2 linked regions of the Oryzias latipes genome follow. The protein of the gene in region 2 interacts with the protein of the main gene of each other region in a biochemical or structural test. Links are inferred from orthologs where the notes say so. Each region holds a gene or a part of one and is shown on either strand. Other genes may lie near its edges. The genes, in order: dab2 and fcho2.

Region 1 (8,697 bases), about 240 kb from region 2:
ATCAAACATATCCTGGTTGACGCTCGCCGGCTGCGCTGAACTGTTCCCGACAGAAGAGAAGGCAGAATCGAGGAGATCGGGGTTAAAGAGCGGAGCCGGGGCAGCAGCTTGAGCAGGAGGGGCTTTGGAAGCACCTAAACAAAAACACACGACACAGTCAACGATAGCCGAACACGGGAAAGTGTAAAGTCAAGATTCAGAGAGTTTACCGTTGTTAGCTAACGGAATCTGGTTGATATCGAAGTCGTCTTGATCTGCTGCATCCTGAGCCACCCCCACTTTACTGGTAAAGTACTGATCAAAAGCCCCTGGATCTTTGCTGCTGGGGGGTGCAGCAGCGTTGGCAGCAAGCTCCCCTTTCCTTGCAGGGATGGCAGGAGGTTTAGCCAGCTGGAAGTCTTTAAACATATCCTTTCCGGTTTTCTTATCCTTATCTCCCAGAGGATCCAGAGCTGTGAAGGCACTGTTCTCCACTTTGGGAGGCGCTTGCTTGACAGGGGCCCTCGGAGGGGGCCGTGCTGGACCTCCCTGGTCTCCCATTGCTGGGAAAGCACCCTGTTGGAAGGGATTGGATGCGGCATGTTGGCCCCAGGAGAGATGAGGTGGAGACAAGGGTGGGGCATTGAACTGTGGTGGCATCTGCTGAGGCCATGCCGGGGCCACCATGGGAGGCCCAAAGGCAGGCTGCGGCATGAAACTGGGTCTGGGGCCCGGAGCGGCCACCCCTGGCATGGGGAACATGGCTGGCGCAGCAGGAGAGGCTCCCCACATACCAACAGGATGGACAGTTGTGGTAGCAGGGAAGCCCAACTGAAGATTTCCTGAAAAAGGGAATAAAAAGATTAAATTTAAAAAAAAGGCACAGACTGAGAAGAAAAGCCAACATTGTTTTATAGATTACCCAGAGCAGCGATGGTGGAGGGGGGTGAATTTGCAGGCATGTTGTTGAAAAGGTCAGCCGGGACAGATGAACCCTCAGAATGGGAAGGAGTGGTAAAGAGTTCTGTCCCAAACAGGTCACTTGATCCCGACTAACCAGAAAATATTAAACATTTTAGGTCAAGTTACACCCCCAAGAACCAGCGTGAAGAACTAAGCTGTGAAAAACAAAGTGGTCAGAACGTGCCTCACAACTCACCAGAGCTTTCATCACTGAAGCATCAGGGTTAGAAAGACAGATGAGCAGAAATGAGTGAAGGAGACATTTCAGAAATTCAGGCAAAGAAGCGTGGAAGCATCAGTTCATGCACCAACAAGTGTCAAAAGAACCTCAGCTGCAGGTGTGAAGTTTCTAAAGTCTGTCCACCACCCAAAGCTCGGGATGTTAGTGCACCTCGTGCCACAAAAAAAAAGGCTTTTTTGCTCAACCCATGCAACCCCACTTGCGATCCATCTGACCGTGTCGTTTCACCTTTGCATTCCGTCGCCCTCGTCCGGACTTAGAGCTCTGCGGGGGCGGGCTCAGGACAACCGAATCCACTTCCGGACGTGGAGTTACGCCGTTTAAGACGGAGGTTTTCAGAGACGGGTCAGAAAATGGGTTTTTGTTTGACAGAATGGTCTCATTCCCGTCTGTCAAGGTGATCCCACTGCCTTGAGCTATGCTGCCGCCTAGTGGCCACTGTCCATCGTTAAGAGCAAGGCTAATGGTTTTTCCAGACAACCCAATACCTCGGTGACCAATTTCTGCCTCGCCGTTCATCTCGCCGTTACAAACAGTCTTAGTGGAGCCACCAGTGAGGTGTTTCAGATAGTCACTGGGGGAAACGGGGGCGTCACCTGCCGATTTAGCGAGAGGGTCATCTCTAAAAGGGTCACTGTCAGGAGCGGGGAAGTAACCAAACTTTGAAGAAAAGGGATTGGCATCGGGAGACGTCACAGAGCCGAGGCCAAAGGCTAGAAAAGAATTTCCTTTTATGCAATTCTGATTGTCGTCAACTTCAGCAGAAAAGTCCAGCAAGAGCGTTTCATTAGAGTCCTGGTTAAGATGAAACAAGATTCATGAATCACTTCTGCAGACAATCATGTTATAAAATCAATGAATCACATGATGAGGAGAAGGAATGATTGTTCAAGTTCTGCTGCATGTAGAAGAACATTTAAATGTAGCTCATAGTCCAATTTGGAAAATAAACAGCCACCCTAGAAATAAATCAAAATTCTTAAAATTCTAAGAATTCTCCTTACATAAATAATTAAGTCTGACAATGTGGGAAGAAAAAAATAGTTTACCAAAATTAATTTTAAGAAGAAAAATATGTCACTAAGACATGTTTTCTTAAACCAAGACTTCGTTGTGGAAAATTTTAATTTAGGATTTATTTTTTTTGCAGTTTGGTCACTTTTTGGACCCCACTGGTTTAAATGATTTAATTTGACTGAATTTAGCAAATATTCTACATGGAACAGCTTTGAACTGAAATGAACACAAATCTGAAGAAAGCATTTGATTTTTTGACTTTGATAAATTATTTTTATAGAACAAAAATTACAAGAAAAATCCTGAACAGAAATGGCAGAAAAAAAGAAAAGAAAAACAGAATTTTTTTTGTTTGTTTACACATCTAGAAAACACTTGTAGAATTATTTGGGTAAGTCTGTCTTGATACAATAAAAATTAAAAAAAATTAAAATAAAAAAAAACAAAGAAAAGGTAATGAAATTTAAAAATATGTGTCTGAACTTACATTGGGAGCCTGGACGTCTGGAGGAGTCGACATGTCTCCAAAGAGATCCAGCTGCTCTACTGGCTAAATTTCAACCAAAAAAAGTTCAATTTGTTTTTGAATTCAATTTCATTAATACATATTTATTGTTGAAGTCCCACTCCGATCATCTTTTGATCAACTTTCAATCCGTTCTCAGTAGCCTTTTAATTATGATTATGTTTTAGCCAAAATTAAAAGACCTGACGTTTTCTAGGACCGTTTCTGCAGAGTAGCAGGAGTTCATTAGAAATTAATCTCAGAGTTATGGGCAGGACTATTGCCCCCCTCCTTTTGGCTGAGACTCCTGTTTAAACTCTCTCCTGCTAGCTTACAGCCCCTCACACCCCCCAACCTAACATTAACAGTGCAGCAAAATGGTGAGCAAAATCGGAGCCATCCAGCTGTACAGTTTTAAGCCAGATGCCATCTCAGACAAGGAAAACAAAGATGTACATGGATCTATTCGTCTACAGGCGGCTGCATCCGAATAGAGCAGAGCAGGGAGCTTGTGGTCCACCCAGCATAGTTCCTATGCAAAAACTACAATCTGTAGTTCAATCTGTGTTTTGTCTGTTCCTGATTCACAACAATAAGAATACAGAAACATACAGAAATGTAATTTAAGGCTTAATTTTCTTTACATATGTCCTCCATTATCAGAAAAACACAACATATTAAAAGACATGATTTACATTGGAGTGCATCTTTTAGCTGAAAAAAATAAAAATAAACAACTCACCTGAGCAGTTTTTACTCCATTGTCTACACCCATCAAGGCATCACCTCCATTCTAAAAAAATAAAAAAAGTTAGGAGTTGAAACAAACAATGTCTGAAGAAGAACAAAATTCAAGAGCTTACCTCGACTACAACGCTGCCGTTTTCACCCTGAAAACAGAAGCATACTGTTAAGGCGGTTTTCTTAAACACACACACACACAAACACGTCATTGGAGTGGAATGTCTGGAGGATGTGATTCACTGCAGGAACACAGAGAGGCAGTGTTGACTTTCAAAGAGAGCATTTCCTGTCCAACACATGCAAGGCTTTTCTTTAAGGAGAAAAAAAAACTGCCATCTGAACGCAGACGTTACCTTCTGCGAAGACTCTGCTTCTTTTTTCTTCACGTTAAAGATCACCTGGAAAAGGTCTTTCAGGTCGATGACCAAAGGCTCCGCCTGCAAAAAAGAAAAAAAAAGTAAAAAGTTGCTTCATTTTTGCAGTTTTCTTTTAATCTGTGAACTTCTGAGCCTTACCTGTTGCGCGGTCTTTATGGCGAAGAACTGATGCTGACCCTCTGCTCCACACACGTATCCAAAAGCCCTGTTGTCCGTCACATCTCTGGCAATGAAGGAGATCTTATTCACCGCATGCTCATGCTCGATCACCTGGAAAGAAAAGAGGAAAACACCAAATAAGCACGAAGACATGAAGCCCTTAAGGCTGGAAGTCAGTGGGACTTACTCCTGATTTCTCATCAATGATCTTTAGACCAGACATTGAGATGTTGACCCAGATCCTCTGTTTATGTTTGCCCTGAGACCGAGCAGCTACTGCCATTCCCTGCAGGCAAGCAAACAAATTCAAATCGTTTTCATAGAAGATCACAGCAAAATTCCAGCTTTACCTTCAGTTTCATCATGGAATCTTGGCACATCTTGTCTCCTCGGGCCTCTGGAACGTCGTCGATGCCGATCAGCTTGGCCTTGTACCTCACCCCATCTCCCTGAAACCTGCTCAGCAGGTAATCGTCTGTCTTCTCTGGAGCTACGGAAAATTTCAGGGATCCACAGAGTAAGACTTGTGTTCAAAAATCTACTCTATAAGGATAGAGACCAAACTGCAGCTCAACTATTGTATTATCCAGTCAGCAACTTTTTTTTTTACATTTTTTGATGCATGGCCAGCAGCTCCATGTGAAATCAAAGGCTGACTAGCAGCTTCATATTCAGAGCAGACGGGACTTCCTGGAGAATGCCGGCTTTATTGAAACGGAAGCAAACCACAAGTTGCCTCGTTATTATTGAGCTGGTCGAGACAAAAGGTTAAGACGGAATGCAATTATTTCTGTGAAAAAACTGAGTTTACTGTCCAGAATACATACACTTATCTAAATAAATTGGAAAAATTTCCATGTTTGGATTTTAGGCATTTTTACATTTATACACAATTTCCTCTCAAAATATATTGACAGTTTTTAATAACAAAAAAAGACTAAAGAGATTTTCAAGGATGCAGCTTCATCGTGACTTATAAGATTACTCTTTAAAAAAAAAAGCCTTGCTTTTGTGCACAACTCTAGTTTTTGTCTTATATGATCAGTCCATTTCCTTGCTTTTATGTATTGCTGACTTTGGAGCCTATCGAGATTTATCAGATGGTAACAAGTGCAGGGCTGTGGAGGTGTGACTACCTATTGGGATGTCCCTTCGAGTCTGTAACTGTGGTGGGTGAGAGGAGGATGTTAGGGAAAATACAAAACATGAGGAACAACCCTCTTCTTCCTCCTCTGCATGAGACTGGGATGCACTAAGGAGCTTTCTGTCAGAGATTTTAACACCTCGCTGAAGGAAGGAGCACATTTGCAGATCTTTTACCTTCAGCCATTAGACAACAATGCCTCAGATGTTTGTCTTTTTTTTTTTATTGGTGCATTTTCGGTCCTGTTATCCATTTGCCGTTTGTAATTAAGCAACAAAGTAACTTCCCCTTTGTGGAAATCAAAGATTTGTTCTTTTCTACTTGATGTATTTGTAAAAACCCAAGGGTGCAGAAAAACAAATAAGTTAGGTAAGAAGAAAAATACAAACAGGGGGAAAATGATTATTGGCTTAAGCTGAAGATTCTATTTAAATTTAATTAAACAATACATTTCGGAAGAAAAAAAAATCATATGGCTACCAAAATGTATTATTTAGCATGCCACCGACCACATTATTACTGTTAATCTAACGGTTTGACGTAAAGTGAACCCCAGAAATGCCCCAACCTGAAAGGAGGGCAGCCCATCATGTGAAAAGGTAAAAAACAAAATTTTAGGAACCTTACTAAACCATTAAGAGACTTCCTTCAAGTATTATAACTTCATATATTAAAATAAGAGGACTATTTAAAATGCATGGATAAATTTTGCCACCCTTGTTAAAAACATAAGACTGTATTTTGCTTTGAGAACAATGGAGGCATGAAGCTTTTGGCTTTAAGTTTAGCTTTAGCCCCCAAAACTTGACCTTCTGCTTTTAGATTCATTAGCAAAGGCCATTTACTCCAGATTATGCAACAGCCAAGCATTAACATGGACGTAAAGCCATATACTTGTGCAGTAGTGAAGAGATTTAAAAAAAAAACTAAAGTTTCCTTTTGACAGTTTTATATCCTCTCAACTGTCAGCTGACACTCGTCCTTGAAGTACTGAAGAACAAAAACTGCTGCCTTAAAGTTCGTACATTTTCAGAAAAGTTAATCAAACAAGTTTTCTGAAAATGTACGAACTGTTCCAGCTGACATTTGAGCCAAAGAGAGACCAACGATGGTTAATTCAGAAAGTGGGTGGAGCTTTCCAAGGGTGGAGAAGGGGTCCAATCAGAGCAGACAAGTGACACAAAACAATAAAATAAGAAAACGATTCAGATTCATAACTCACTTTTCTTCTTTTCCCTCTTGAACGGGACCCTGGATGTGGCCGTGCTGGGGGACGTGGGTGGGGTCCCGGGGGTCGAGTCCGCAGTCTGGGAGCTTGGATCGACAGTTGCGGGCGCGCTGGTTTCCACCTCTGCAGACATGGCGGGGGACTCGAACGAGTGACAACCTGGGGTAAAGCAAACAGCAGCTCCGGGTTGGAGGGAGCAGGCGATGAAGGGAAAATGAGGCCTTCAACACCCGCGCATGCCTCTCCGCCTAAAACGACACAGGTAGATATTTTTGACGTTAAAAACTGATTTCCTAGAGGATTTCTTTTTTATTTGCACACAATAGGCAGAAAATCTTCATCCCCACCAGTAAAGGTTTACAGCACCAGAACAAGACACATGACCAATAAAACATCACACTCATGAGATCCAAACTCATTCCACTCTTTAAAAAAAAAAAAAAGAAGCTGTGTCAGCAGTTTGACTTTAAAGTAGTGAAACATCCTCAGGATGACACGCTCAAGTCACTTCTTCCGAAATCTGTCAGCATAACCAAACCTCACATCCATAAAAAGCCCTGCTGGTTGCACCCTGACACTCCAAGGGAAATTAACATTTAAGCACTCACTCCACAAATACTCTTGTTTATAGTTTAAATTATATTTTTAGTAGATTACCACCATATTTAAAGCCCTAATAAGTCCGTTTGGGATCCCAAACTAAAAGGTGCATTCAGCCAAATCAAAATAGAACAACCAAAAACTACTCAAATTTGACCGAAACAGCAGCAGGAGCTCCTACCTTTTCCGAGGGGCTGCAGACACTACAGCAACCACAACAGTAATGTAAAGAGCTGGAGCACAGCAGCAGACCAAAGGTTGGGAATGAGCAAAGGTTGAGCAATTACCTGGAGTTAATTTTACCCTAAGCGGTGAGAGGATCTCGTGATGCTCAGGAGTAGAAATGAAAATCAACAGTAATTATATATATATAAAGTTAAATCAGCAGAAGGATGAAAAGTCTGTCTCAAAAGAAAACACTACCCAAAATGAAAGAATTTGGTCAGAGCAGAGCAGCTGGGGTTTAATTACCTGTATAAGCAACACCTGAGCTGGACACTCACAAGTTCCTGCTGGACTATAAAGCAATAAATGTCTTACTTTTTACTCATCTGTGCTTATTTTCTAAGTAAATCAACTTTTTAATTACATGTTTAACCTTTAAACACCAGTGGATGCTTCACTCACTCATCATGCCCAGCCTGACTGCACTTGCTCATCAAAGCAGGAGGAGCCCAATAAAAAAAAGGTGTGATGTCAGCCTTTTCTGAAGATTTGAGCTTAAAAGTTTACTTTTTAACCATCAGGAGATGCGCTAAAGCATTAAACAGGAGCCAAATGATCTCCGTCAGCAAAGAAAGAGATGTCACAATAGTGAGCAGTCAGGGAAAAGGGCAGCACATCTGGAGGAAATCAGGGAATGAGTCAGCCTGCATGTGAATGAGGTGGTGAAACAGCACAGGCCCGGTGTGAACAGGCAGGAGAGGCGAACCCCCAAACGAAACATAGCTTCAAACAAAGAGCCTTCTGTGGTTTTGGAGACGCGCGCACGTTTGCGCAAATGAAACCTAATTTCCGAGGAAGCTGAAAATAGACCCAAAACAGAAAAAAGTGATGCTGAATTGTCTCAGTGACAGCCATAGAATCCTTCATCATGTTGGAATTTTAAAGTTTAAAACCTGCTGCACTCATGGAGGAATCCAGAGACGCGTACCTGTATGAAAGCGCGCAGTGAGACGTTCGATTTCCCGCAGACACAACAGCGGTGTTTTTGCCCCGCGGCGCCTTCAGTGGCTCAGCTGCAAAAATCAGTCCAATCAGTAGCAGCTTTTGAATCAGACGCAGAGAAAAGGAGAGGAGAGACGTCTGCGCGCTCCCGTTAACCCCTCCGTCACTGACAGGACAGAAGACTTGTTGCTGATTTCAGCTGGCAGGGGAGGGGAGGGGGGGGGGGCGGTCTCTAAACCAGAATGTACCAGATGAACCCAGACCAAACTGTATAGGAAATCTTATTTTGTTATAGGTTTAGTGTGGTTTGTTTTATGGAACTTCTTTAAAAATGTGCTCAAAAAGATCCAACTGAAGCTGAAAAACTCTACGTATCCCAAAAACGTCTCCTCTGATTGTTTCTTTGAGTCTCCAAACCTTCTTCTGTCAGTTTCCTTTAAGGATACTTTGACTTTTTCTGCCATTTCTTTGCATGTGATAAATTTTTTGACTGTTATCAGCTGCAAAATTAGGTTTTGCGAGGGTTTGGGATGACACTGTGTTCCTGCACTGCCTTTACACAGACAGACAAAG
Region 2 (9,022 bases):
TAATTTGTCTGTAATTAAAGAGTCACAATAAACGCAATAATTTTACAAGCCCAGTCAAAACCAGCAACAAGGCTTTCAATGTGACAGCAGAAGAAGGAATGAAAACCTCGGACCTTTCATTTAACATCATAAACATCTAACCTGGTTAAGCCGAGACAAGAACACTGATTTTGACCAAAATAGTAAGACTATTATTAATAAATTGAATTTTAATGATAATAAAGCAGGTGTTATTTTCAGATCATATCAATATACCCCCCACCTTGTGGCCTGATTTGAAACAATGATTCCTGATGATTACCTGTTGTGTGATTAGTGACAAGAATTTCTTAAATATTGCAACAAATTAATTTCTAATGACAAATTTATTTTTTTTGCACATTTTGTATTTGTATTTTTGCGCATGTTGAACACCCTTCATTCTTTTGCACATTGCTGTTGTTCTTCTCTTCTTTTTTCTTTCTCTTTTTTTTTGCACTGAACTGCTGTAGCAATTGAATTTCCCCAATGTGGGATCAATAAAGAATATCTCTAACTCTAAGCACTATGCACCTCATCTTTGTCCTTTGATTTGATCAAACCTTATGGATTGTTTAAATGATCAGCACTTGTTATTGTGAAAAAACTATAAATATCTGATCAGAAGTTAAAAAGCAGATAATAATAATTTAAAACTCAATTGTTAGGTAAAGCAAATTAGGGGCTGGATTTTATAAATTAGCTTCCTTCTACTCCTTTTCAGGTAATTAATTAAATTACTTATGACACTTAATATTTAATGGTTTTAAATGTGTCATGTATCAAATGTAAAGTGACAATATGTGCATTTCAGATTTAGAGTAATTATAATAGAATAATTTCTATGTGTATGTGGGTCTATAAGTGTGTGTAAAATAAAAAAAATCAAATCCGATAAATCTAATTATCTTTAAAATAACCTGTTTTTACTGAAACTGAAAGGACTTTGATAAACTATTGTTTAATATTAAGTTTGTGTTTTGCTATATTTTTATTTTACCTACAGCTTTCAATTTTCTTTATGATGTAGAATGAAAATAAAAGTAATCATAACGTATAGGGTGGCAACAAAAAACACACTCCAAGTAGTCATTTTCATATATTTGTATATATCCATATATTACACATTTAATACAGACGATAAGAAATCATAAAATAGACAAAAAGTGACTGAAATATAAGGAAAAAGGTGAGAATCATCTTACACAATGTTGTTTTTTTAGTTGTTTAATACAACAAATAGAAAAGAGAGAAGCTGAATTTAGAAAGAGCTTTTTTTAAAGGATAATCTTAAAGTTGTATCGGGTCAGCAAGAACCAGCTTGCTAATACTGAACAGTTCTAGGGTCTACACAGCCATTTTTAAAATGTGCTCATCTTTTTGGAGAAAAAGAAGCAATAAACAGAATGCTTTCCATTAAGTAAACAATGTTAGATCTTTCTTAGACTGATTTTTTTAAAGTATTTTAAAAAATTCAGAGGCAGAGAAAATGGAAAAGAAATTGTACATTTTTGAAGATAAATTTGTGACCAAAATAAAGGTTTCAAATGCCTTCCAACATCTAATAAGCGGTTTCTTTTGTCGACACCTAATTAAAAATAGGAACTTTTTCTACTATTCTATTGGAGGGTTGCTTCAGGTTAAATGATTATTGTATTAAACTCCTCTCCTAAAAAGGTTTCAGCAATTTGGAATCACAGTTTTTAGACAATTTATGCAACAACAAAAAGTGCCACAGGGCCACCTACTAATGGATTTTGCCTCCAAAAGATATAAATCAGCCTCTGCAGAAGCAGCCCTTCATTAAAAAAAGACAAGAGAGAAGCACCAAGAGTCAAAAGTGACCACATTTTTTGCTTTGCAAAACCTGCTGAAGAAAATCCCAGCATGCACTGGTGCAAAAGGCAAGAGAGGTGAGTGATCCAGCCCAACTTTAACGGCAGAGTTTCTAACCACAGGAGAGGTCCGGATGAGGCGTTTTTTTAATCCCACTGAGACGCTCTGAGCCAACGCCGTGAGGCAGACGGTGACAGCAAACAATCGCAGATCCATCGCCATTTCACTTCTGGAAGATGAGACGCGTTCCCTTCAACATCCAAGTATTAGAAGTAAAAAAACACAATCGGGGCACGTTGGTGCCGCCGTTGTTAACTGCGCTGCGGTGCACAAAAAACGTATAAAATTTAGGTACAATTATCATTTACAGCACACAGAAGGGTGGTTAAAAGTTCAATTTGGTGCAAATGTCCCTGGATGTTTGACCCCTAAACAATCCAACTCTAGAGGGTTTTAAGAAAAACTGATCAGAATCCAGAAAAGGTGATTGTTCAGAAAAAACTAATTACTTTTTTGCCTTTTGTTTATAGTAGAAGAGAAGGCACTGATGTCAGATTTTTTTTTTTTTTTTTTTGCACTCCAATATTGTTTTAAAGGTCAGACTGATGTGAGTAATGTAAAAGACGGATTCCACCTTCATCGCTTCATTGCACATAATTGACACAGACAGAGAAAAACACAAACATCAGTAAAGAAAGCAGGTCTGGGGTGTTATTTACAGTTAGGAGGGAAAAAATGTTTTTTCTTCTCAGAGAAGAGGGAAAAAAGGTATTTGGAGGATTATTAGTGCACTTTTTTTTCTTGTTTTATGATTTCAAATACAATAAAGATTTATAGCTAGTCAATAAATCCTTTCTTTCCTGTACAAAAAGGAATAGATCAGAACTATTAGACTTTATATCTACACGTTTCCTGAAAGCGCATCTTAAGTTTTCTTTTATTCTTTTTTTTTTCAACAGTGTTCAATACTCAGTGCTGCCTTATGTAGTGAGATTCTCGCTTCCTGTGTGAACCGCCGCAGCTCCATTCCCCCAAGTTTTCTGTCAAATAAGGGCTTTTCTTTCCGGTTACCTCAGCAGTCCGCCATGTAACGCCCTGAGGAGACAGACAGATGATTTCTTTTTGAGACGTGGCGGTCTACATGGACCATCAGCAGTGTGGAAGAATGCGACTAACCGGTGGCAAATCTTTTCTTGCTGAGGGAAAGCCTGTATCCAGAGCCCAGCAGCTCCATGTCCACTCCAGACAGGGTGGCGCCCTCGCTCATGAACTGCACTGCCAGAGTGGACGGGTTGGACGGCCCATGTGAGAGATCAAATTTAGCCCTTATAGACCCCGCACCTGAGGGACGGACATGTAAAAGGGGTGAGGAAACTGGACAACTCTTGTTTAAAACACTCTTGTTAAAGTTTGAATGAGCTCACACCTTCGTTTTCTGATTTACTGGAGAGGTCGCTTAGTTTCCAGAGACACTTATTCTGCTCTGAACTCCTGAAATAATAAGGTGGTACAGTTGAAGCTTAGAGGGTTCAGCAAAAGGAAGACGTTCTGGTATGTCCACATGCGCGTCTCACCATATGGAGTTGGGCAGAGATTGCACGCTGGTGACTCCTCCGTCTACAGGGACCAAGACCTGCAGGTTGGTGAGCGAGCCTGGGGAGTCCATGGATTCTGGGTTGTAGCGGTAATCCACCCGCAGGTCTGTTGTGCTTGGTGTGCACTTCCAGTAGACGGCCAGGTTGAGCGGGGTGGAATGGATTCCGTCAGACTGCACCTGAATGCAGCAACATGAAATGTCTAGTTTTTCTGTGACTAATAAAGTTTAACTTGTAACGCAGAAACCCTGCACTTCAATCACTGGGATTCATAAATGAGGGACTCGGCTTTGGCCCGGGACGCGCTGAGGGTGTCAGTGGGTGGAGTCCAAGACCAACATGGAGGAGAATCTGACTGTTATCCTCCTGAACTTTATGATATTGTTCTTATTAATAACAAAAAACTCCTCTAATCTTGTTCTTATTTGTATTTTTTTCCCTCTTTAGATTAATGCGGAACAGTCAGTCATCAAACTGGGTCAAAGAAAGCCAGAAGCACAGCTGAAAGCGTCTGTTATGCAGACACAGCTCCTGCAGTAGATGCTGAACCTCACCGTACTGGTGAGTCTCATGAATCCATGGAGATGCAATTACTGACGCTTTTTTAGAGCTCTCCAAAATAAATAAACCTGATCTCTCAACATCATCCATGTCCTCCATGCCATAACTGTATGTAAGACCATTAAAAGGTGAATTTCTAACAAACTCCTGCTGCTCTGCAGAAACTATGACCTAGAAAACGACTGATGGGGCAGCGGTAGGGCCGTCGACCCACGATCGTAAGATTGCAGGTTCGATTCCCGCCTTGCACGCCCATGAGTCGAAGTGTCCTTGGGCAAGACACTGAACCCCTAATTGCCTCTGGTGGTAGGTTGGCGCCTGTGTTTGGCAGCGGAGCCGCCACCAGTGAATGTGAATGAGTGTGTGAATGTGTGTGTGACTGGGACTGTGACTGTAAAGCGCTTTGTCCTTGTAGGTAGAAAAGCGCTATATAAGTATACGCCATCTACCATTTACAGGTGTTTGGAAAAATGGCATAATCATTATTACAAGACCCTGGGAACGCTTTTACAATAGATAAAAAGATGATCGGGGGGGGGGTTAACCCTGGAGAACCCAAAAACTACTTTTTAGGCGCTTTAAGGTAATTTGATTATTTTTTTGTTCTTTTATTTTGGGTAGCAGCAATGAAGATCAACCTACATAATAAATGTAAAAAAAAAAAAAAAACGAAAAAACAAAACAGCGGCCAAATTAAATTTTGTGGGTTCTCAAAAGTTAACCTGCTAACATGATTTTAAAAATATAAAATCTTTGTTTTTTTTTTGTGGAGCACATATAAACAACATTTAACACATTTTCGTGTTGACTTACAGAGCTGTAGAGTGAAACTATTGTTGAATTTCTGAACGGGACGTTGTTTCAGGCAAACCATGAATGTTGGACCAGAATGAAACATTAGTTTTAATTTATTGAGATAAACAGCCAAACATAAAAACCCCAATGAAGCCGTGTAAGTCTGTGGATGATGGTTTACTTCCAAAAGAAAGAGGATATCAGAGCACTGAAGGTGAACGCTCACTCCAGCAAAAACAGTGCAGATGAAATATGGCAACCTAATCAGAATCATATTCAACGCAGTCGTATTTCTTCTTTTAAGAGGCTCAGATAACAAAAACTTCTCACCTGGTATTTCAGGATGTCCACGTTGTAGTAAGAAGCTGAAGGGTTCTGCTCGGAGGCTTTTCTGAGGTAGGTTGTCAGTGCTTGCATGTTGAACCAGAAACTCTTGGAGTCTGAATCACTTTGGGAAGGGTCACTGGACAAAAGCCAAACACACACACACAAGGAATAATCAGAAGCTCAATCAATCGCTATAGCTTTGTGTGTGAAGCTCCAACAGCTTGGAAAATATGAGGCTGTTATATCCAAGCAGCTACTAAATCGTGAACTTCGGTTGATTTGATTAGCCTTGCCATGTGGTCGGGAGGAACCAGAGCGAAGAGCAAATAAAGATGTAGTTTCTTTATGACTTTCTCTAGTGGCAAAAACAGCCGGCCTTACATATTTAGCACCTTACTGAAAGCTGGGCTGACTGTGAGGTAAAATACACATTCAATACGTTGTGCTCCAACAAACGAGGTGAGAAAGGCAATAAAGTGTTGGATGAGTCTGGTGCTGAATGAAGCTGCAGTTTAATGAAGTGTTTCCTTCAGAAGAGACACGAGCAGCTGAGAACCTGAACGTCTGCGGGAGAATACTTCTCTGACGGCCTAATGACAGCTTTATGTCCTCGTGATAATTGAATTACCCTCCAGTGACGCAGAGGCCACTTCCTTCCAGCTCAAGTCTGTCTTTGACCAGAGCGTTTTGGGGGATCCTCACCTGTGGAGTAGCTGCACGTTGGGGAGGATCTGCTCCAGCCTGCTGGCATTCTTCAGTTTGAAGGTGAGGACAGCGGGGGACGGGTTGGACGTGAAGACTTTGATGATGCCCATAGGGAATGAGAGCGTCATGTCTCCTGTGATCTTCACAATGCACCTGTGGAGAAACCACCAGGTAAAATCCCCTGATTTACAGAATTACTGCAAAAGTGAACAAAAGTTCTCTAAGGCAGTGGTTCCCTACCTAAGGCTACAGACCAGTTTAACCCATCCCTCCATCCATTTTCTTAACCTGCTATATCCCTTTTGGGGTCACAGGGTTGCCAGAGCCTGTTCCAGCTACTGTTGGGTAAAGGCAGGGTTCACCAACAAGCAAACTCCAAATAGAAAGGTCCCAACTGGGATTCAAACCAGGACGTTCTTGCTATAAGGCGAAAGACCACTGCGCTACCGGACCTATATAATGTCAGACGACATATTCATGGAGTGGTCTGAACAAGGCTGAAGTTGGGGTTCGATTTCTTTTTAGCCTCCAGTTTCCCTTGCCTTTTAAGGCAGTCTTCATCCTCTGTAAAACATCTGTTTAAACTTGTTCTCTAGATTTTATGAAAGCACCATTAAAATGTGATCCACATTGTCCCTTAATGCATAACTATCAAAGTAAAAGCTACAAAATCACACGCCAACTTTAATCTTGTCCGACTTTTAAGGTGCGAAAAAACAGTCACTGGAAGTGGTGTTTTCTAAATAGAATATGAATCATGCATCCACCATTTGAACAAATTTATTGGCAGAATTCTCGTAAAATTAGATACTCACTGTTTGTTTGTTTGTACTGAGCCTGTACACGGTCAGTGCAACAACACATTTTCCCGGTCTGGGATCAATAAAGTGTCTTTATCTTATCTTATTAGACAGCCGGTTGCTGAAGATTATGCATTATTATTGTTGTCTCAATAAATACAATTTTGGAGTCAATACTCCTGGTTTCTGTTTGCAAAAGATGTAGTTTTCTTTTATTTTGAAGTTGAAGGCTCTTCGTCCGTTTCCTCACTGACTCTTCTGCCACAAAAAAATATTTCCAAATATGTTTTTTCATTAACTTTGCTGGCTTGGGGATTTCAGTTTTGCTGACGGTGCTGCCGCTTTAAGAAAGTAGCGGATGGATTTTCAACAAGAGCGACTTGGAATTTGTCATTATTGGGTCGGATGTGGTGAAGAGAATCCAGTAGTTTTCTAAAACACAACTTCTTTCAGTTTATAAATAAAACAGAAAAAAATGTGGCTTGTGTTTTTTTTCTATGCAGCTGGTACCAACTTCCCCATGGACCGGTACCGGTCTGCAGCCTGGATGTTGGGGACCACTGCTCTAAAGCACAAAGCACCATCAGAACTGTCTCATAGGAATCCAGCGGCTGCACACGGTAACAGAGAACCAAAAACTAACTTGTGTTCACCCTGGAAGGATAAATACATTTTAATGTAACACAAAAATGGTACAACTGAACAAAACCGATGTCCACAGCAATATTTCCATTACATCCTGATTAAGTTCATATCTTAAGACATTATCATGCAAACAAACTCTTTAATCACCTTTATCTTATTCCTGAAATTTATAGAATGATTTCATTTATCTGAAACATGTTAATAGTTAAACACCTAGTTTGCAATGGAAACAAGCATTTGCAGGAAGCACTTCCTGTGTTTCCTGACGGTTTTATGACTTTTCATCCGCAGACAAAGTTTTTAAGGCATTTGTATCTTCAGTTTTGCTTTTGTCCAACTGTCCTGAGCGTCTTGGAGAGCTAAAAACCACTATGCTGGGCACGTAAACACAGTCACTGCAAATTTTCCACAATGTGCTGATTTATCTACTGTCCAGTTTGATCATTTTTATACATTTTAGTTATAAAAGGAGTTTTAAAAGATCTACTAAAACGTTGGTGTTACAGTCTTCTCTCATTTATTGCGTGAATTATGTTGCCTGCAAAAGGTGAAATTCGCAAAGTATAATTATAGATATTTTAAGCCTATAAAACTCCTCACTACGCACTTTATACCCTTTACTCAGACAAACATGGACAATTTCACTTTTCTCTCTTGTTACAAATGCTCAAAGTTTCAACCTTCATGGAGAAATAAGTCCAGTATTTTAGAATGAAAACAAAGATCTGAACGCCATCAAATATTTATGTAGATTTGGCAACCTGAAGGCACTCCTGTACAGGAGACACAGCATGGAGGATAATAGGTGACAAAGTCAACAGCCAATCAGGAAGCAGAACCCAGTTTGTTGTTAAAGTATAAAATATATATATATTTTTTTAATTCTGCAAAAAAGTGAGACCACGATAAGGTGAACTGCGATGTAGCGACAGACCACTGTAATTGGTATTAAAGTAAAAATAATCCTTTGCAGGATTTTTCCAACATAAACTGCTGTTTAAAGTCAAAAACCAGAATTGTTAATAGATTTATTCCGACTTCAAGTAACTTTTTGACTCGTTCACAGGTGTTGGTGTAGGCTTGAAAATGATTCATCTTTTTATCATCAGGATTTTGTTGTAGAGTAAAAAATGCATTTTCCTTTTCTGAATAAAAATAATTATAAATATAGTTTATTACTTATTCTATGTGTGTAGGGATGGTATAGTTCTTGTGGCGCTTCTGCAACTGCATGAGAGGACTGGATAATATTGGGGGACACTGGGGAGGGGGTGTCTTGGCTGGGGTGTTTGCTCCCCTCTGCTGGTCTTGAACTCGCACAGGGCTTTGGCTGCATAACTTATATAAAAAAAATTCCATTTGCTAATCTCCTGCAAAAATAAGCCTTTTTGCACAGCAGCAATTTAGCGGCAGTTAACCAATAAAAGACTGTATGTTTTTCTCTGATGTGGAATCTGACTCGGAATCTGCTCATGCAGGTAATCCCTTCTGAAAGAACGGTGCCAGACTCGCGCAGAACGTTACACGCATGCAGAACGAGCGGGGTAGAACTGTCTCCCTGCTGCAAGCTGGACTGTGAAACTCCGCAGTGACACTGGAGGTATAGAAAATAAAGTTGCGGTCTTTGGGTTGTCACGTGAGACTCACTTAGTGGGATCAGCTCCTTTGAAGTAGGCATTAACTGACTCTGTGAAGGCCACGGCAATGGGCAAGGCATCTTGGGATGCCAGGGTCACAGGG

What was found.
Region 1: the proteins of fcho2 (region 2) and dab2 form a complex in vitro, tested with the Homo sapiens proteins (2 studies listed by BioGRID). The link is inferred for Oryzias latipes from reciprocal best matches to the Homo sapiens genes FCHO2 and DAB2.

Annotation. Positions count from the first base shown.
Region 1 is NC_019870.2:5,120,283-5,128,979, forward strand, and holds the start of dab2 (disabled homolog 2), read right to left. Parts: upstream 8,315-8,697; 5' UTR 8,111-8,314; intron 7,159-8,110; exon of another isoform or gene 7,139-7,158; intron 6,606-7,138; 5' UTR 6,491-6,605; coding exon 6,352-6,490; intron 4,476-6,351; coding exon 4,336-4,475; intron 4,272-4,335; coding exon 4,173-4,271; intron 4,097-4,172; coding exon 3,965-4,096; intron 3,887-3,964; coding exon 3,803-3,886; intron 3,596-3,802; coding exon 3,569-3,595; intron 3,499-3,568; coding exon 3,448-3,498; intron 2,751-3,447; coding exon 2,688-2,750; intron 1,979-2,687; coding exon 1,412-1,978; intron 1,032-1,411; coding exon 902-1,031; intron 822-901; coding exon 210-821; intron 135-209; coding exon 1-134. UniProt on the Homo sapiens protein: Adapter protein that functions as a clathrin-associated sorting protein (CLASP) required for clathrin-mediated endocytosis of selected cargo proteins.
Region 2 is NC_019870.2:5,364,369-5,373,390, reverse strand, and holds the end of fcho2 (F-BAR domain only protein 2), read right to left. Parts: coding exon 8,930-9,022; intron 5,991-8,929; coding exon 5,835-5,990; intron 5,269-5,834; coding exon 5,136-5,268; intron 3,629-5,135; coding exon 3,429-3,628; intron 3,346-3,428; coding exon 3,281-3,345; intron 3,196-3,280; coding exon 3,031-3,195; intron 2,950-3,030; coding exon 2,927-2,949; 3' UTR 1,105-2,926; downstream 1-1,104. UniProt on the Homo sapiens protein: Functions in an early step of clathrin-mediated endocytosis. Has both a membrane binding/bending activity and the ability to recruit proteins essential to the formation of functional clathrin-coated pits.